2 linked regions of the Cricetulus griseus genome follow. The protein of the gene in region 1 purifies or fractionates together with the protein of each later gene. This does not show direct contact. Links are inferred from orthologs where the notes say so. Each region holds a gene or a part of one and is shown in the gene's direction. Other genes may lie near its edges.

Region 1 (10,774 bases):
TTCAGGGCTGGCCACCCTCCACCACACTCTGTCTCACTCTGCATGCCAGACACTATAGTCTCCACAGACTATCACTTGATGTTGACTTACTCCAGGGGCTAATTGTAGGGTGTTTGCTTGCTCCAGAGTTCCAACTGCAGACTGTGGGTCACCCTGCACAGAGATCACAGGAGGCTGGGAGAATGGGGCCTGTGTGCCAGAGCAGCAGAGTGGCATGGCTGCATCGTTGCCAGATGTCTTGCATTTCCTACTTTCAGGATACATGCCGCTGTCGGGGTAGAGTCAGGAAGGAGGTGGCTAGCCATTTTAGAGAGCCAGGGCTGGCTGGACTATGCTCCCAGATGTTTGCCCAAGGTGGTTTTGCCTAGTGTGTGGATCTCTGGCTCCTTTCCTGATGTATCAGGATATGGCATGAATGGTGATGGAGGAGACTGAGTACCAGAATTGCTTCCTAGGGGAAGTGTTAATGAAGTGTACCTGAATAACCAAACTTAGAATAAGGCGGCATCCCAAGAAGGAGCATAGGTAATCTATAAGAATGCTGGGCATTGGTGGCACACGCCTTTAATCCCAGGCAGAGGCAGGTGGATCTCTGTGAGTTCGAGACTAGCCTGGTCTACAAAAGCTAGTTCCAGGACAGCTTCCAAAGCCACAGAGAAACCCTGTCTTGAAAAACAAAAACAAACAAACAAACCAAAAATGTGTCTCTTTTGATGGGACAAACTACTAAATAATTGGTGTCACTGAAGGTGGATGAAGATAGTGCCAACCTGCCACAGAGACTGGAGACATTCTTTCTGTTTGGGTCCTGGCTAGTCATAGAAATCTGGTCACAGAACACATCTTGTAGCTAACAGGGAAATAACAACCCCAGTGGCACTTGCCTGCTGAATACTGCTGAATACTTGCAAGCCCTGAATACTGGCTTTTCCATTTGGTTGCTGTGTTGATTCCCCAGGGCACTGGAAGAGAAGTCAGCTGGTTACTGCCCTCTGAGAATTTAGTTTGTGAAGGTGGAATAAAGGTTCATGAGGGGAAAACAGTCCTTGCATTTAAGATTATTAGAAGTAGGAGATGGATAAAAGCAGGGAATGGCTTTACAAATTTTTCAGTGTGCCTCCAAGAATACAGAGCCCATTATGTGAGACCTTTAGTCCCTTGGGTAACAACAATAGCCCATTGCAATCCTAAAGGCATGTGTGTGTGTGTGTGTGTGTGTGTGTGTGTGTGTGTACATACCTGCTTTTTGTTTCACTATCCTGGTCTGACCTACATCATGCCATTCTCCTGCATCAGCCTCGCAAATTCCAGAATTACATGAGTTCACTGCCTTGCCCAGCTTAAAGCTGGATTTTTTATTGTTGGGTAGGGGCGCATCTGGAGACCAGGTATCACTGTGTAGCCTTAGATAGCCTAGGCTGGCCTTGAACTCAGGCTTGAGTGCTGCCACCTGAATGCTGCAATTGGCATGAGCTTCAATGCTTTTTATCTCCTCTTTTTGAGATAGAGTCTTACTGATGACTTGACTGTCTTGGACTTGCTATCTTTCCTCTTCCTCCAAGTGCCAGGATTACAGGTGTGCCACTACACTCAGCTTGCAGTTTTAATCCTGTAACTCCTAGTGATAGAATTATTTCCTGTGGTCATTTTAGCAAGGCACAGCATAATCACAAGGGCTACAGTGTGCTGGACACTGTTCTAAGAAGCCCCATTAATTAGCACAGTTGTCATTTTGCATACAGAGAAACTCAAAGACAAAAGGACTTGCCCAATGTCACAAAAGCAAAACTGGTCTTTAACATCCAGGAAGTTGCAATCTAAAAAGCTAACTTCCTCTGGAAACTGTCTTTAGTCCCTTAGGATATCTGCCAATGTTTGAAGACGTTGTCAAAATTAGGGTGAAAGCCTTGGCATTTAGTAGAGACAGGGCTGATGCTAAATATTCCTCAGTACACAGGACCCCCACCCCCCAGCCCCCAACCCCCAGCCCCACCCTCATCAGAGACCTGTATGCCCCAGTTGTCAATGTTTAGGTTAATAAACACCTCAGTTCATGAAAACAGCTTATCTGAAATGTAAATCATACACCAGTCATGGTCCGCCACCCTTTCCCAATTCCATAAGTAAAACTACTGCAGGGAGACAAGTAGTGTTGATGTCGCCCTTTAGTATCTTGGGTGAGGTCCCAACCTGGCAGAACTGTGTAAAGTGCTGTCTTTTCGGCTGTTCGGCTGCTTCTGCGGTACTGTTCACCATGCTTTTTGTGCAGAAAGCCTGAATAAGAATGTGTATATCAGGTACCAGCTTGGGACAGGGCAGCTCTCTGACGATCATTAAATGGTCCTAGTTATTAGAGATTAAGAGATGTCATAGTGATATGTGATGGAGTGCCAGATGAGTCACACAGCCAGCACGTGCCAGGATAGAGGACGACAAGGCAGAGCAGAGAGGAGGGAGGATCTGAGTTTAGTACTGAAGCACTGTCTGTATCAGGATAGAAGTGGAACCCCAAAGTGGCAGGGCTGCACTGTGGGGGAAGTAATCTAGAGAAGAGAGGTCAATTGAGGACAGCAATGGGTAGTAGAATGTGGGAGGGGAGGGGAGACCGTGTATTGCACAGCTGTGTGAGGAAGGGTCTCCCATGGGAAGATGTGGGGGACCCACTAGGGAAGTTGTGACATCCATTCAGTTAGGAGCTAGCTGTAGGGGCCCAGGCTGGTGGGATGATATGCAAGCTGAGTCAGGAAATTCTTCCAGGTAGAGCCACTAGGTCTGGAAGATTTGGGAACGATCAGAGATGATTTTGAAAGTCTGGGACAATGATGGCAGAAGTTACAAACAGGAAAGTTCTGCTGAAGGGAACGGGTGTCTGACTGAAGAATGAAGAAAGAGTTAGCTTAAACTGGGGTGAACTTGAAGTAGAGATGTCCAATAGCACCAGTGTACAGGTTGATAGCCCCAGGGAGAATGCAGGTCACAGACTCCTCCCATACACAGGAAGCTTGGGTTTGAGCTGTGAGTCAGATTCCTCCTCCCACCTGCCTTGTGTGACCAGGAAGTGTGCCACTGGCTCCATTTTCCATGTGAGGTGAGGCAAGGCATTCACTTGCCTTGTGCTGGACCTTCAGTCTGAAACATTTCATTCCTGATATTAACTCAGACAAATCCCTGTAGCTTACTCCTTCACTCAGGTGTTTCCCCACAATGCATCAGGAAATGTGCTTAGACCAGGAGTCCCTGATTTGGTGGGGATGAGGGATAAGGTATCTTCTCACTACATTATCCTGTGTATGTCTGGAACGTGCAACCTTCCAACCCTTACCTCCCAAATACTAGGGTCCTAGTGTGTTCCTTACTTGGCATTATTAATTCAGGGAGTGGCATACACGGACTCAGGTCATGGTTGTGACTGCCTTTCCCACCTGAGAGCTTAGTTTTGAGCCAGGCTGGCCTCAAAATCACCAAGCCACATACCTGGGTAGAATCAGCCCTTTTAACCTGAAGTTGGATAGATGTTGCTATCCCATCCCGACTCTGAATGATAGTGGATCCTAGTTACCCTCTTGTAACCTTGCCAGAATTGGGACAAAGTATGCCTCTTATTCATCATAAAAAGCACTTGCCTGTGTTTGTTTTCCCTTACTACCTTTAATGATCTGCTTTTTGTTACTTCATGATCTGCCTTCATTAGAACACAGCAGGAAATACCTTTTGGTATAAATATGTATTGGGCCTTATTGAGGGCCAGGCAGAGCTTCAGGGCCTAAGGATGCCCCTTTCTTGGTAGTGCTTGTCCTTTGGTAAGCAGGAAATAGAGGCCAGTTGGACCCTGGTTCTGGGAATCCTCTCAGGGGAATTGATGAGGATAAGGCAGGTGTTTCTGAGAGCTAATGTTTCTTCCCTTCTAATTCCCATAAGAGAAATGAGTAGGCCAAAGATGCAGGATAGCCACAGTGCCATCATTTTTGAGAGCTTCCTAGCTGTGTTCCAGCATGGTACATCTTTGGAGATATGCTCCTTCTCTAGTTCAGGCTGCCCCAGAGCTCCACTACATGACGGAGGCTGGCCTTGAACCCATGGAGAAGCTGCACGCCTCAGGCTACCACAGCACAACAGTAGATTACACTCTGCCAATGCCACTTGATTTGCATATCTTGAATTGCTGATGAGGCTAAACTCTTAGCTGTTTGTACTTCCTTTTCTGTGAATTTTCTGTTCTTTGGATTGTTTTGCTTCATGGTGTCTGGATAGGCTGCAAGCGGTGGCCAGCCAGGTGAGCTGGCATGTAACTAAGAAGGGTATTGTGGAGAAAATGGGTTATGAGGAAGTCCTCCCAGGGGCTGGAAACAATGAAGCTCTGATAAAGGGCCATTGATCATGATAGGGTGACCCAGTGATAGTTGCAATCTATCAGCCTTTTAGCCTCATTATCAATCTCATAGCTCAAGAAGTATGAAGAATTGTCCCATTTTACAGGAGAAACTGGTACCAAGTGATTGAAGGCATAAAGAAAGGTATTTAGTCCTGAGGCACATCAACTCATGAGTGACACTTTGTCATACTTTCACGGAAGACCTACATGGTAGGAAAAACAGGTGGGCTGTCTAGGAGTATGCATCACATACTGGCATTAACGTATGTGGATGTCGAGACCACTGGGTAAGGAGGTTTGGTGCTGATTTGCAGTTGAACTTGCCTCGGTGTAACTAGCAGAGTCCATTGGTGTAAATACCTCTTTTCCTGTCTCCCATTCCTAAGAATTGCAAGGAATGGCTTTCTCTCAGGCAACTTTTACATCAGAGGCTGCATCCTCAAGCGCTGTCTTTCTTCTCTTTTGCAGATCATGGCTCCGTGGCCCGAGTTGGAAAATGCCCAGCCCAACCCCAATAAATTCATTGAAGGGGACTCAGATCCACAGTCTAACGCAGCAGCCAAGAACAAGGAAACCAGCAAAAGTAAGTGTTCCTCACCAATTGGGACAGGCCCCCTTCAAGGACCCACAGAGATTTAGCTCTCATTCCTCATGGCCTTTGCTATTTGTTTGAGCAGATGACAGTGGCACTCCTGTAACCAAGATTGAACTTCTACCTTCCTGTTCCACCGTGGTCCTGATAGAGGAGCCCGCTGAGGTGAATGACCCCTGGGACCTGCCTGAACTCCGGGACACCGGAATCAAATGGTCAGGTACGTGGATGTCCAGCATCCAGCAGGGACCAGCAAGAAGGACCCAGCCAGTCCAGTGTTGACCTTTATGTCACATGGACCAGGGTTCTAAAGAATAATAACTAGGGATCAAGGCCCTAACAGACAGGCTTTAAAAGAAGTGCTGAGAATACAGCCAGCAAAGCTGGGGTGAACAAAAGCTTATTTCTGTTTGTTCCAGATGTGGGGTTACAATCAGCCTGTGGACCAGTCAGCTAGGATAGGCTTGGGTGGTAGGAGGGGAAGGGAGTTGGGTAGGAGAGGTGAAAAGACACTTTTGTAGCTTAGCGGGAAGTCTAAGGCCCTGGCCCTCAACAAACTGCAGCTATGATTTCAGCTTGCACAGCTTGCAGCTTTGATATCTGTGCTATTCTGGAACTTGCTTTGTAGACCAGGCTGTCCTCGAACTCACAGAAATCTGCCTGCCACTGCCTCCCCAGTGCTGGGATTTAAGGTGTGTGTGCGGTTCTGAAGGTGCTTTGTGAAGCCGTTGCCTGTGACTCTGCATCGGTGGCACATGCTTTCTCAGTGACATTGAGGTTCACTTGAACATCCATTCTGGTGGGCTGCTTCTCTGGGCCCAGACCACAGTGAGCTCTCCGCTCCACTCTGACTCCAGGAACATGAAGGAGGGTCCAGTGAAATGCATCTCAAAGAGAACTGCCAGGAACCTGCTGCACTGGAGGCTGTCCCACCTCCAGGCCTTGATTCAGGAGCCGGTGGTGGAAGGCAGAGCAGAGAGCTCCCGTGGTAAACATCTCTGTTCTAGCTGGAAAGATGCTAACTGTTATGCCCTCCTTCCCCACTTCCCCCCACAGAGAGAGACACCAAAGGGAAGATTCTCTGCATTTTTCAGGGGATTGGGAAATTCCTTCTTCTCCTGGGCTTCCTCTACTTCTTCGTATGCTCCCTGGATGTACTCAGCAGTGCCTTCCAACTGGTTGGAGGTAAGGACCCCCTGAGGCCTCTCTATTCATGACTCCTGAATTTCATGTCAGGTGGACGCAGCTCACAGGCCGCCTCAGCCTCATGCTTCAACATGGTTGGGCGTGGGTGAGGACAGACCTGACAGCAGCTCAGACTTTCCTCATGGAGAAGAGGACTGAAGCTTCTAAGTGGCTCAGGCAGCTTAAGCCAGGAGCCAGGTTTGGAGTTGATTGTAGTTATCAGAGTCCCTCCTATTGTACCTAAATCCCAGAAGGAAATTGTTAACTCCTTTTATCTGGGAATCCCTGCTGTCTCTAGGCTTCTGTCTAGAGAGTGTGGGAGAAAAAAAAATCTCTCAGGCCAAAGCAAGTAGGAAAGATCAAAGCCGGCTCTTGCTGGAAAAAACCCACAGTAGATGCCTTCCCTGGACTGAGCCCTGAACAAAGTGGCCCGTGTTCCAGAAACCCAAAAGTGAAATGGCCATATGTGCTCAGTTAACTTTGGACCCTTCATGTGTGACAACAGATAGCACACTGAGTAGCCCTGTCTGGAGTAGTCCTTCCTAAAGTCTCTCCCACTTGTAAGAGAGGACCAAGGCTCAGAGGTCACTAACTAACCAGACTGTAAACACAGCCTGTAATGAACACAGTGGGGTTCCAGAGCACAGATCAGAGTGACACAAAAGCCTGTGGATTCTGCTTCTCTTGCTGCCTTGAGCTAAATAAATAGAAATTTAAAAAGTCTTCTTCTTCTTTTTATTTTCTTTCTTTGTTCCTTTCTTCCTTCCTTCCCTTTCTTTCTTTCTTTCTTTCTTTCTTTCTTTCTTTCTTTCTTTCTTTCTTTCTTTCTTTCTTTCTCTTTGAGACTCTATCTGGATGTTCTGAAACTCCCTATTTAGACCAGATTGCCCACTAGCTTTCAGATTCATTCGCCTCTGCTAGGATTAATGGAGTGCTCCACCACACCCTTTCCAAGCGTGTTTTAGGTCAGGGTCTCACTATTTCTGGCTGGATTGGAACTCACAGACATCCTCCATCTCTGCTTCCCAAGTTCTGGAATTGAAGGCATGAGCCACCATGCCTTGCAGGGCTGATCTTTTTGGCATGAGTGATGTGGGGTGGGAGGTAGGTCAATTGTTAGGGCCCTGACAGGTTGAATGTGATAAGTCTCCCTGGCCCTTAGGAACATTCATAAGGGGCTTGACTTATGATAATGATTATCTTGGACAATTCACACCCAGTCCCTGTCTAGGCATCCATTATAAAATGGGTTGGAGAAGGACTGAGGGTCACATAGGTACACTCCCAAAGAAACCCCTAGAATTCAGTGATGAGTCAGTTGCAGCGGGAGGTGCTAAAGAATAAAGAATAGAGGAATTACAATCTATACTAAGCCTGGTTCGTGATCAGAGGAGACTGGAAAAAAAGCTGGCTGATTTGGGAGTGGGGCTGGGGTTCAAGGTGGGAAGCCAGAGAGTGAAGAGATAAGACCCATAACTGAGTATGGAGCTAAACCATGTCAAAGACATGGAGGTGGATCCAGGCTCACATTGCCAGACAGAGATTCCTTCAGAGCAGTGCAAGGAAAAAAGAACAGGAAGCACGACCCAGCTGAGCTGAAGTCTGGGCTCCAACCCTACAGACATCTGATCTCGTGTGGACATTAGGACTAGGTGCTACCACCCCTGTCTGTCCTCACACAACCACCATTTGTCTTTCAGGAAAAGTAGCTGGCCAGTTCTTCAGCAATAACTCCATCATGGCTAATCCTGTGGCTGGGCTAGTGATTGGGGTGCTGGTGACCGTCATGGTGCAAAGCTCCAGCACATCTTCGTCCATCGTTGTCAGCATGGTTGCTTCCTCATGTGAGTTGGATTTGCTCTAATTCTGTCTACGTCATGACACAATTAACTTCTTATCTCTTTTACTTATGCCAGTATTTTAGCCAAAATTAATGAGAATTTTTCTGCATTGTGAATTTGAGGACAGCCTAATCTATACAACACACAGTGTCTCATGAGCGTTTGTGCCACATAACCGGTGTCCTTATCAACTCTGGGACTCATCCATTCCTTTAATCACTGACTGATTCCTGGTGTCCTGTGAGATGGCTTGAGCTCGGTCGTAGAAGACAGGGGAGTTTTAAAGCAAGGTCCATAGGGCTTCAGGGGGTCAGCTAGTGCCCTAAAATTACATTCAAGAATGGAGTCAGGCAGGTTCATTGACTCGCCTCTCTAGATTTCAATACACTCCCCTCTGTGTATTGTTATGTATGGACCCCTCCCCACATAGAAAATAGCTGCGGTGCATTCAGCCCACATTGGGATGTGTAGAACATGACTCCCCTGCCTTGCAGGCTGCCTCACAGTTCTTTTCTAACCTTCAGTACTGACCGTGCGGGCTGCCATCCCCATCATCATGGGGGCCAACATCGGAACCTCCATCACCAATACTATTGTGGCACTTATGCAGGCAGGAGACCGGAATGAGTTCAGAAGGTAGGAGTCTTAGGGGGGCTTTGTTCCCACCAGGTCTGTTGTTTGAGTCAATGCCTTTATCTAATCACAAAGGTGTCTGTACAGAGTTTGTCTGTACAGAGCCCCAAGAGTCGACTAGGATTGGGAATCCTAGTTGATTAAAATCCACTTACTAATCTGTAGAGCCAGAATAATAATATCCAGCACCACTAAGTTATTGTAATGATTAAACAGTCATGCAAGCAAGCACCTGGCACTGCGACAGGATACATGAAAGGTACGCACTAGCTGGACATGTACTGCTGGGTGGTAGCATTAAAACAAGGCCAGTTGGGGCAGACTTTACTGTCTTTTAGTCATAGATAATTATAACTTCCTAAAACTTCCATTTTTGGCTAGCTCAACTAACTACCCCTTCACCTGTAAGCTGGCAAAGGCAAACACAGTTTATGACGTGTAAGATACAAAAATAGGGCAGTTGGAAATGGGCAAAGGGAAACCCTCTTAAAATGTTAACATGGAAATTAGGCATGCTTCCCAGCGTTTCTACCCAGTGAGAGACTCTTACCAGAGCTTATTAAAATATAGAAGCAATTCTCAACTTGTCTATGATGCCATCCTGGTGTGGTCAAGTAGATGACATTATAGCAGGTTGTTGGGAAACAGGTCATGTTTGTCGTGTCTGCTGGTTGGTGATCGGTTATCACAGTGGTCCATCTACCTGAGCCACCTCATTTGGTTCCTGATGACATGTCTTGATGGACATGATAATACACATTAAAGCAGGCACTCTTTAATTTGATCTTCTCATCAAGCCAGACAGCCGTCTTTATTCATCTTGTAGTCAAAGGAGACAAAGTGATGTCATTGACTGGCACAGCCAGGATTCCAGTTAGGTTTCAATTCTGGAAAATTTGGGCTCATCTCATGAATACTTAAACCTGATTGCTGCCTAATAGCCTATAGAATAGAAGCTCAAGACCTATTGTGGTGCCCATGTGCTTGGATATAACTGACTCATCCTATCCCCCCGTCCCTGTACTATTTAAGTATACTATTTCAGTATGTGGAATTGGTTGTGTGTGTGTGAGACATCCTTCTCAGAGGTTTGGATTATTGCTTTAGATATCTACGATAATTACTGTATCAAGTGTTTATAGAGCTCTTGTACATTTTGCCAAGCACCGGGAAATGTTTGAATCATTTTCTATTTCATCTGCAGTATATGAAGGCTCTTACATTGCCTTCTCCAGGATGAATGAGAGTAGCTAATGCCATAGAGCAAACACTGGAACTTTCAGTACATTTCTTTTACTGGTGAAATTATTTCCCCATGTGCGTATCAAGTGCTTGAAGGAGAGTGGCATATATCAAGAAGAGTGTCATATACCAAATATACCTAGTGGTAGGTATTTTCTGGCATGGGGATGTTTCTAGAAGGAACCTTTTCAATTTTCATTGAGAAGAAAGCCTATGGCAGTGTTTGTTTTTTGCCTGGCTTGGGCTAATTTCTTAATTTGAAAGTTGTGTGTCTCAGAATTTTGAACTTTTAAAGGTTTAGAATTTGGGGGCTGTTAAGATGGCTCAAGTACTTACTGTACTTCAGAGGATCTGGGTTGAGTTCCCACCACCCATATGGTGGCCCACAACTGCCTGTAGTTCAAGTCCACAGGCTTCTGATGGGCTCCTGTACCAGTTGAGGCACACACATGCAAGCTAGTAAGAAGATTCTCATTGTTTGCCCCATTGCTCTCCACTTTTCAAAGGCCAGGTTGCCTTCCAAGCAGTTTCAAGTGGTCTAGGCACAGTTGAAGAGGTGGCTCAGTGGTTAAAAGCATTTACTGCTCTTGCAGAGAACCTATGTTTGATTCTAGTTACGATATGGTGATTTCAATTATATATAACTCTAGTTCTGGGGGGTGCAACAGGCATGGGTGTGGTGTACATACAAGCATGCAGAGAAAACATAATTTTAGATTAAAAAGTTATTAGTGTATTTGCCTGTATGTATGAATGCACCACATGCATGCCTGCTGACACTGGAGCTGTGGGCTTTGGGAACTGAGCCCAGGTCCTCTGGAAGAATGGCCAAGCCAGTGTTAAGTCATTCTCCAGCCTTAAATTTTTGGGAAAGGAGGGATTGGGGGTAGTGGTTTTTTTTTTTTTTTT
Region 2 (10,485 bases), on another chromosome or scaffold:
TCTTACTGGCTAGCCCTCTCTTAATTATTAACCCATTTCTATTAAATTATGTATTGTCATGAGATTGTGGCTTACCCATAATGCTCCAGCATGTTATTCCTGTGGTGGTTACATTGCATATCTCTCTCTCTCTCTCTCTCTCTCTCTCTCTCTCTCTCTCTCTCTCTCTCTCTGACTCATCCTCTGTCTCTCTTTTCCCAGTCTTCTAACTGGCTACTGGCCAATCAGCATTTATTCACCAACCAATAAGAGAAACATATATTCACAGCATACAGAAGGACATCCCCCATCACAACTACATATAATAGTTCCTCCATCCAATTATTTTGTGCCTAGTTTTGCTTGTCTGTGTTTCTTGTCATGTTTCAACTCCTGTGACATGGAGGTCACCTGACCTTGCTTTCATTTGATAGTTCAGAGCTTTGTGACTTTGCAAAGCCCATGCTGTAGTCAGAGTTTATTTTCCACCTGGTCTAGCCATTTAATTCCAAAAAAAACACACTGACACTTATAGTAATTATAAACTGCATGGCCGATGGCTCAGGCTTTTTATTGGCTAGCTCTCTGTTAATTATTAACCCATATCCATTAATCTATGTATTTCCACATGGTCTCGCACTTACTGGTGATGCCTGGTCCCTTTTCTTCCTTGGCAGCTACATAATATCTCTCCGGCGGCCCCTCTCTGCCTTCCTCTACCCAGCGTTCTCCTAGTCTGGTAGCCCCACCTATACTTCCTGCCTGGTTACTGGCCAATCAGCATTTTATTTAACCAATAACAGAAACATCTATTCACAGCATACAGAAAGGAGGACATTCCCCATCATGTACCTTGCTCTTTCTGTCTCAGGCAGAAGCTTCTGGGGCATTGCTGACTTCTGCTTTCTCTTCTGAGAGCCCACCTGGATCCAAAAGGTGCTGGAGTGAGAATACCGGGGAACATGGGAACAAAATGAGGTTCTATTTCCTCTGAATACCCAGCAGATAGTGCAGTCACTGGCTCGTGGTGGGCATTTAAGAAACTTTCTGGCTGCTTCTTCAGTGGGAAACAACAAAATAGTGGATGACACTGTGTAGCAGGAGGCCCCAGAGGATGAGGTGGCCTAGGATTAGGAGGCCAGCAACTGCCTTAGGGGCCATGATCTTGGTCAAGGCCAGGGGGCTCCTGGAGGTAAAGCCAAAGAAAAGAGTGGATCTCTGTCACCAAGTTGGGCTGCCTGGTCAAGGACATGAAAATCAAGTCCCCAGAAATCTGCTTGTTCCCTCTGCCTACTAGGGAATCTGAGATTATTAACTTTTTCCTGGGCACAACCCTAAAGGATGAGATTCTGAAGATCATGCCCGTGCAGAAACAGTGGACCAGATTCAAAGCTTTTGACGCTATCAGGGACTATAATGGTCATGTTGATCTTGGGGTTAAGTGGTCCAAGTAGCCACTGCCATCCAAGGGCCCATTATCTTGGCCAAGCTTTCCATTGTGCCTGTGTGGATAGGCTATTGGAACAAGATTGGCAAGCCCCAAACTGTTCCATGCAAGGTGACATCCACTGTGTGTGTTGGTTCATCTCATCCTTGTCCCCAGAGGCACTGGCATTGCTTCTGCTCCTGTGCCCAAGAAGCTACTGATGATGGCTGGTATTGATGACTGCTGCACATCAGCCAGGGCCTGTACTTCCACCCTGTGCAACTTTGCCTAGTCCTCCTTTGATGCCTCTCCAAGACCTACAGCTACCCGGCCCCCGACCTCTGGAAAGAGACTGTGCTCACCTAGTCTCCATCAGGAATTCACTGACCATCTTGTGAAAACCCTCAACGGAGTCTCTGTTCAGAGGGCCCAGGCTCCAGCTGTAGCCACCACATAAAGGTTTTTATACAAGAAAAATAAAGTGAATTAAGTCTGTTAAGAGAGAGAGAGAGAGAGAGAGAGAGAGAGAGAGAGAGAGAGAGATTTTTCTGAGACAGATCCCAGATGCATTTCTCTGCATTCTCATGGTGGCTCACATTGTCTATAACTCCAGTTCTAGGGGATCCGACATCCTCTGATGGCCTCTACTGGCACCAGGCATACAAGTGGTTCACAGACCACAGGCAGAAAAACACTCACACACATAAAATATTAGGAAAGGAGGCATTCTGAGAGAAAATGGACTGGATCTATAAAGCCTAGATGAAGTGTCTTAGAGAAAAGTCTTTTCCCCCCGCCCCCCTCTTTTCCTTTCTTCCTTCTCCCTCCCTGCATTGGAATTTGACTTTAAAACAGACACATAGTTCCTATCTAAAGGTGAAAGCAATTATAGCACAGGTGGAGGAGGGAGTGCTGGGCTTAACAGGGGCTAAACCTCAAGTTGGGTGTGTGTGGGGTGGAGTAAGTATAAGGTTGTTGGGAAGCTGAGTGGCTTCAGGGTGTGAGGTAGGTAGGACAGACTGTAAGGGAAAAGCAAGCAAAGGGGAGAGAAAAGTACTTCCTGATGCAGAGGTTCAGGGTCCAGGGGAATGCGCATGCTTATGGAGCTGGAGAAACTGAACAGCTCCAAGGGCATGGCGCAATGAGGGAGTGGTAAGAGAGGAGACCTAAGAAAGAGGGGCAGTGGTGTGTGTGTGTGTGTGTGTGTGTGTGTGTGTGTGTGTGTGTGTGTGCTGGTTTTATTGGAAGGCATGGGAAGAGTGATTGGAGAGTGTGCAAGTAGAGTTATGGAGTCATATTTTTGGTAGGAGGTCACCCCATTTGCAAAGTAGAGTGGGAAGAGTTGGAGCAATGAGGGCCTGGTGCATTTAGTGTGGTGGTAGGGTGCAGTCCTCACAGTATGGGGACAAGGGAGGCTCATACTTTCAAACAACTAGAACCCAAACCACAGAAGCATACAGTGATGCCATTGTATTTCATCTCACCACTGTCTCTTGCTCAGGCCTCAGCTGGACAGGTGCTGTGTGGCTGTGAGGAGAGATCTAAAGGAGCTCAAGCCAAAACTGCCCCCTCTGTGAGCAGCGTCAGCAGAAAAAGGGAGACTCAGGGTGACCAAGGCAAAAACAGCAGGGACAGACTGATGGGCATTCCTGGGTGTTGCTAAGACAAGCTGCCCCTGGAATAAGTGTTCAGCAAATATTTGAATCAGTTCTAGGCCTTCCCACCCTGTAATTTTTTTTTCAGAAACTTGGAGCAAGGAAATTTGCAACTTTCAAAAGCAAATTCAAAATTATAATTTTTATCGTCAAAAGGTGAGCATGTAAAAAAAAAACAATCACAAAGCAAAACAAAACAAAAAGCTAAAACAATGTCTCATACTGTGAGCAAAAGCAAGTCAAGTAGAAGACACTATCTGTGGGGTGTGCAAATGTTGTTTATATCTGACAGCCACTCATAGGAGACTGAGATGAAACTCAAGGATACCGTGAGGGTAAGGTAATGGGGCAGAGGTATGTATGCTGTGTGTGTGTGGTGTGTGTGTGTGTGTGTGTGTGTGTGTGTGTGTGTGTGTGTGTGTGTGTGTGTTGTGTGTGTGTGTGTGTGTGTGTGTGTGGTGTGCCAGCAGGAGATGTCCACTTCAACTCTCACTGGCCTGAGACTCAACAATTAGGCGAGCCTCTCCTTCCAGCCCCAAGGACCCACCTTCCTCTACCTCTCCAGCATGAAATTGCAAGCCTGTGTCATTGTGCCCTGCTTTTTGACTCAGGTTCTGTGCATCAAACTCAAATAGACTCTCATGCTTATATCTGAATTGATACTCCCAAGTTTGTGTGGTAATCACTGTGACCTCTAAACCATCTCCCCAGCCTGCTTTTGCTTTTCATTCTTTCTGACCGCTCTAGTACATCATTCTCTGCTCAGAAATATGATGGAAAGATCCAAGTTTTCAACAATTTTTTTATTGGTTTTGTTTGATTTTTCTTTTTGAGATTGGTCTTGCTTTGTAGCCCAGGCTGGTCTCAAATTCTTAATTCTCCTGGTCCCTTCTCTCTAGAGTCACCCTGTTTGGCTCATTAACCTAATTTATAATATTCTTTCCAAACATCGGGTTATAATATAATCCATTAGTGCTTCTGAGAAAACATTTAAGTCAGCGGCTAGTTGTCACTTTTTAAGTTTAATTAATTCATTAGTTTTTAGACAGGGTCTCAAGCCCACCCTGCCTTTGGACTCCTGCTCCCCCTACTTCTACTCCTCTCTGTGCAGATCACCACACCTACTTTATACAGTGCCTGGAATGGGACCCAGGGCTTCTACATACTAGGCAAGCACTCCACCCACTAAGCAACACCCCAGCCCGTTTCCTTTGGTCTGTATACCATCAGCCTTCTCAAGTTCTTCCCACTTGCCTCTCCCTCCTGGAGAAAGTCGCCCTAGCTTGGGCTGCTTCCCTCCTGCTTCAGTTCAGATGTCATCTTTTCCTAAAGTCCTGTAGGAGTCACGCAGTGGGTTCACGTTGGGTTTTCAGTGATCCCCCTAACAGGATACCTTTGAATTAACAGCAAGCTGTACTCACCACACAGAGCCCCTGCTCTTGTTTGCTATCACTATACTAATTCCAGGTAGAGGTGTGCGGGGCATACAAGCAGTGGGAGGAATAAAGGATGTTTGCAGTCTCTTTCCGTGCTGAATTTCAGTTTGATGTCTAACCCAAGCAAGGAAACCACAGCAGGGCTGTGTTGTCAGCCTAGGAACTTCCTTTAACGGGGATTTATTTGTTTGTTTGTATTTATTTATTTGATGCAGGGTCTTACGGAGCCCTGTTGAACTTTGAATGATGTATCCCCTTGCCTCTACCACCGTGACTGCCTTTTACCGGGTTTCTTTTCTTGTTTTTGTTTTCGGGACAGGGTTTCTTTGTGTAACAGTACTGGCTCTCCAGGAACTAACTCTATAGGCCAGGCTGACGTCGAACTCACAGAGATCATCCTGCCTCTGCTACCCGAGTGCTGGGATTAAAAGCGTTTTCACCACCGCCCAGGGTCTGATGCGGAAGGGCAGGCACAGGCTCCGGAGAGCATTGCTGTGAGGGCATCTCCCGCCCCTGTGCATCCCCCGCCCCTGTGCATCCCGGAGGGCCCTGGTGCGAGCCAGCCGTGGCTTCTCAGTCCCAGCCCCGGGGACCGTCCCTTGGTCTAGGCCAGACCAGCGCGGAGGGGTGAGTCTGGCACTCCGCAGCAACGCGGTAGCAGGTGACCAGTCTCCACGCACCGGTGCAGCAGCAGAAAGCCGGGCCGAGCCCTGCAGCCATCTTCGGGGTGGAGGCGGAGAAGGGGCGCGGCCTTGGTCCGGAGCCGCCCCGCCGGAGCTGCACAGCGCGGACTTCCCTGCTCCTGCGGAGCCTGGCCGCGCAGAGGCCGCCATGGGCTGTGCGCGCTGGCTCGCCCTGGGCGGCCTCCTGGCCCTGGTGGGGCTGCTGCAGGCCCGGCTGCTGCTCCCGCACCAAGCGGGCTTCGGAGAGTGCGACCGCTTCTTCTACGCAGGGACCCCACCCGCCGGGCTGGCAACCGAGACGCACGTGAGGATCTGTCAGCGCTTCGCTGGCGCCGAGCGCTTTGCCACCCTGTATAGCCCGGACCACCGCATCCCCGTGTTCTCAGCATTTCGCGCTGCTCGCCCGGCGCCCCTTAGTGCTGAGCAGCGCGGGCTTCTGGAGCCGCAGGTAAGCAGCGTTCAGCCAGCGCCGGCGGGTGGGTGGGTGTAGGAGACGGGGAGGGACGGGAAGGGACGGATGGACCCAAGGCTCAAGATCCACCCCACCCCCTCCAATTGCAGCCTGCCTTGCCCTGGTGGGAGTCGCCACTTAAGCTGCAAGGGTAGGAGGTTCCCTGGGGAGTTGGCCCTCCCTCCTCGTGGGCGCAGACGTCTGCAGTGTCTGCTTGGTTTCCTGGGTAGTAGAGGACCTGGACTGGGAGACAGCACTAGGAGATCGCGAGATCCACGGGAAGCACAGGCCCGCGCTCGTCCCCTCTGTAGCATTCATTCGGGGTGATGGGCAAGTTCACCCCATTTTACAGAATCAGGAGCTTGCAGACCACCCAGCTGGTAAGATGAGCTGCTCTTGAGGCTAGAAAGTCACTGCCCTTTCGGCTATGGGAAAGCTGAGAGTGCACACAGACTTGGAGAAGAAGCTCAGTGGGGTAGTACCCACGGAGGAAAGGACAAACCAGTTTTTCCTGACTCTTCACATCTATAGATTATCAGACCATTGGCAATCATGTCACCTTTCACCGTGTTGGGTCTGTCTGGTGGGAGGGATCAAACACTCAGGCCTCTATGGGTCCTGCAGAGCCTGCTGACCGGCTCTCCTCTGCCAGATCTCCTACAATACCTGTCCTGCCTCTCTTTGACCTCACCCCAGCCTTCCAGCCCTGCATGTCCACAGCCTTTGGTTCCTGATGGCCACCATCACAAAAGTTCAGGCTTTCAGGTGGCTCCGCGTGAATGTGTGGGCTGTTTATCATATTTCCAGCTGTCAGATCTTGGCCATGCAGGCTTCAGGCAGTCTGCACCTATATTTCCTTCTTACATCCTTCCTTCCAGCAGCTTGCTAATCTCAGTTCTTGGGAGACCAGGCCAGTGAAAAGTTACTATCGTGTGAATGTAGGGAAGACACATGCCAATCTAAAATTACTTTGCCCCAGAGTACCACTACAACCTGAAGTTCTTTATGTTCCCTGGGTCTGGGAAGAGAGCAGCAACTTAGTCCATTCTCACCAAGGAGCTCATTAGCGTCTGGAGGGACAAACATACACAGGGGGAAGTCATGAGAATTCTTGATACACCTGGTGAGCACCTGCTGCCTGTCTGTGTGCATTCAAATCCTGATTCCTCTAGACTGGCTGTTGATTCATGAGGACTATAGGATGATAATAACATAGGATGCTTGGGGGTGATTAAGTGAGTTACTATATGGTCAGTTCTCCAGAGGCACAGGACACATAAGTGCTAGCTACTCTTGTGCGGTTCACAAAACACATAATTTAACCAAGGTAAGCAGAGCCCTCTTAGACTTAATCCATTGGTAAGGTGATAGGGAAAAGCTTTAGGGTCTGGCTGGCATTTGAGCTGAGCCTGGAAAGATTAGGTAGGGTTCAGGAACAGGGAGGAAGAAGAAATTTCAGCCTGGCATTGTATGAGATGGGCATGGCAGATTCTTGGATCAATCCTTGGGAATGATTGGGGTAGGTAAGCTAATACTGTATTATATGCCATGGAACCTAAGGACTCAGAAGAAAGGGAGTTATAGGAGGAAGGAGCAGGGGAAGGAATCACCAGGGGAGACATAGGCAGAGCCGTGGACCTGCTATTAAGGAAATCATAGAGAACAGGGTTTGGCAGTGAGGCTGTAAAGACCCTGGGTGGAGTAATGGGGTGAGGCTGTAGAGAGATGGAGGTGGAGAGCTGAGGGAATAGTTCCAAATGGCAGCTGGAGCTGTGAGATGCCCTGGCTTCTGGAAGGCACTGGAGGATTGGACTGTGGCTCAGTGGGTAGAGTGTTTGCCTGGCATGCACTTGGCTGTATGTTTTATCCCCAACACTGTATATAATGGGGCTCATGCATACAGTTCCAGCATGTAGATCAGACATTCAAGGTCATCCTCAGGCTGCACAGTGAGTTTCAGGCCAGCCGGGGCTACATGAGAATGTTGTTGGTCAAGGAAGCAAGCAAGCAAGCAAGCAAGCAAGCAAACAAGTTAATTCCCCTCCCCCAATGCTGTTGGAGAGTCGCCAAGGCTGAGATGAGAACAGAGGCTACTTTTCTCTGCAGGGTGATGGCAAGTTCTCTTGCTAACTTGAGGTCAGCAAGGGGACCAAAGAACACTGAAGGGAAGGAAAGAGGGAGGGAGGAGACAGAAGCGCAGGTGCCTCTGGAACTACTGCAGCAGGCTGCCCCTGCCTCTGTCCAAGACCTGCCTGCCTGCCTCTCAGCCAATGTCCCACTGCAAGTCCTGCTCAGGGCTCAGTGTGTACTTCTAGCTGCTTCCAAGAAGTTTCTGTTGCCAAGTCCTTTTGTGCCCATATCACCTTATGAGGTCAGCATGACCAAGATGTCCAGGAGGCAGGAGGCAGGCAGTTCAGTACGGGCCTATTACAATGAGTCAGGCAGGGTGGCGCCAGCCCAGCTGGGCAGCCAGGCAGCTCTCCGACAGCCTGCAATTGCCCCTGAAGAAGACCTCGGAATGGAAGATGCAGAAATGTAGTCACCTTTGCTTTGTATTGTATTTGAGGCATTGTATTTAACACCTTGGGGACAAAGTTCAAGCAGCAGACTGGCACTTCCGTTCACAAGACCCTTTGGGTGTTGGATCTTAGTTCCTGGCCAAGTCCTATCCCTTCTGTCACCACACTCCACAGGAATGTTGCCAGGCCTGCATTACCTGTGGTCCCCTGGAATGCCTTTCTCACATAGCTCTCATCAACCATGACCTTTCACCTTCTTCCACTCTATCCTTACACCTTTGCTGGAATGTCTTCTCCCAAAGTACTTCCCACCTGAACAGACCCTCCTCCGAAGTTATGACCACACTCCTATGCTCTTCTGTACTAGACTCTGTCTCTTCATTCTCCACAGGGTCTTGCCTAGGCTGTCCCCAAGTTCACTATCGACCTGCCTCCACCTCTCTAGTATGGGAATTACAGGCTTTGGCCACCATGTCAGATTTTTTTTTCCTCCTCCCACTTCTTCCAAGACAGGGTTTCTGAGTGTAGCCATGGCTATCCTGGAGCTCATTTTGTATAAATCAGGCTGTCCTCAAACTCAGGAATCCTCCTGTCTCTGCTTCCTGAATGCTGAGAATAAAGGCATGTCAGTTTTGATTCCTTCATTTTTGTACTTACTGCAGTGTTTTGTAATTGTCTGTTCCTATTGTCTGTCTGTCTCCCCTGCCTGAGCCCTTGAATTCTGGCTGAGGATGTAGGACATAGGTTACTCATTCTTGCAAACACAGAGCTTAGCACATAGGAAGAATTTAATTAATGATAGATCAAATAACTATGAGCCGGAGATTCACTCGGGTGCAGTGGTGAGTGGCTCTGTGTGGATGCTTTTGTTGGGGTGTTTCCCTGGTCATAAACTTGTCCTTATTGCTGGAAAGCAGCCTCTGCTGTCAACACGTTTACTGGTAGAGCTCAGAGCCTTTCTCTAGTTTCCCTTCCAACATTAGCTCTAGCACTAGTTAAGGGCCTTGGGACTTTGAGGCCTTGGTTTCCATCTGTGCTCACAGGCCCTAGGGTCCCCAGCCCTTCGTCCTGGTGATAAAAGCTTGAAGGACAGAAGAGCAATGTAGAGGGAACCAGAGAAAGCCCTGTGGCCTACTGGAGAGAGGCTCACCTTTGAACCTAACGTGGACAGATGGTGAGAGGCAGAGGGGGACATACCTTCCCATGACTATCCTGTCAGCAGACATTTCACCCAAGACTCCAGAACCTAAGAGCAGTGTTGTATTTAAGGAATAGGGTCTGCCACATCCTCAGTGGCAAATAGAATATTTTTGTGTATGATACCAATGATTTCCAAAGTATACTCATGCCCAAATCAAGCACGAAAGACCTTATTTTATAAACATGAGCATTACAGGGGAATGGCCTTACAGCCAGTGATGGCCGTGTATATTCATTGATCTTAAAAAGATACATTAAGATAGAGTCATCACTGTCTCTTCATTGTTGACACAAAGAAATTGGTTCAGAGTGGTTAACTGGTGTCTGGGGTCACACAGCTTGGATTTCAAAACATGACCCATTGTATTTAGTCGAGTGTTATTTTTATATACATGGGGAGTCTCATGTCTCTTTCATATGAGAATCTGAATTTCTACTCTTTCTCTTTTCCACTGTCACAGACAAGTGAGAACACGCATGCAGATGCAGAAATACTGTTTGAGCTCCAGTGGCTCTGCAGTGATGGGGATGCCTTAGAAGGTTGTATTTCATATTTCAGTAAATACACATGAAGTTGTCCCCCTTAGAACCTTGAGTCCTCAGTCTTTAGTTGCTGACAGTTGCTTCCTGCCTACACACCCAGAGGCAGCTGGCCACACTGTTTAATTTATTGCAACCTCAGCCCCCTCTTCATTGCATCAGAGAACAAATGTGTAGAAGCCACCACACACTGAAGTCTCTGTGTACAGGGTGCAGCAGACAGGACAGTTCTGGGTTTTGCTTCTTGATAAAAGGCTTAGTTCAGATTCCTGGCCTGCCATGTACAGGTGTGTGACTTGTGTCTGCCACCCTGCTTTCCCTGTTTGTTTATTAGAAGCAATAGTGACATCCATTGTAAAGTGGGATTGTGACAATAAACAAAACCAGTATAGTAAGCATGCAGTGGGACTATAGAAACATGTAGTTAGTATTAATGTGTATACTCTGCCACAATCTAAAGCATGCTGGGTAATCACAAATGCACACACACTGGGCTTGGTAGGTGCCTTTTGCATAACCACATAGATCCTTCAACTGTGAATATTCTCAAATACTCTACATCCCACATTCATGCCAGTGCTCAGCGTGTGTATAGG

Evidence for each region. Proteins that work in one complex are often made in the same cells at the same time.
Region 2: the proteins of Slc34a2 (region 1) and Endod1 purify together in Homo sapiens (co-immunoprecipitation; 3 studies listed by BioGRID and IntAct, counting the BioPlex papers as one, with this or other methods). This does not show direct contact. The link is inferred for Cricetulus griseus from reciprocal best matches to the Homo sapiens genes SLC34A2 and ENDOD1.

What each region holds. Positions count from the first base shown.
Region 1 is NW_023276807.1:121,293,281-121,304,054, forward strand, and holds the start of Slc34a2 (sodium-dependent phosphate transport protein 2B), read left to right. Parts: upstream 1-4,843; coding exon 4,844-4,955; intron 4,956-5,046; coding exon 5,047-5,184; intron 5,185-6,020; coding exon 6,021-6,149; intron 6,150-7,849; coding exon 7,850-7,993; intron 7,994-8,514; coding exon 8,515-8,626; intron 8,627-10,774. UniProt on the Homo sapiens protein: Involved in actively transporting phosphate into cells via Na(+) cotransport.
Region 2 is NC_048597.1:127,844,130-127,854,614, reverse strand, and holds the start of Endod1 (endonuclease domain-containing 1 protein), read left to right. Parts: upstream 1-5,048; 5' UTR 5,049-5,327; coding exon 5,328-5,627; intron 5,628-5,863; exon of another isoform or gene 5,864-5,956; coding exon of another isoform or gene 5,957-6,010; intron 6,011-10,485. UniProt on the Homo sapiens protein: May act as a DNase and a RNase. Plays a role in the modulation of innate immune signaling through the cGAS-STING pathway by interacting with RNF26.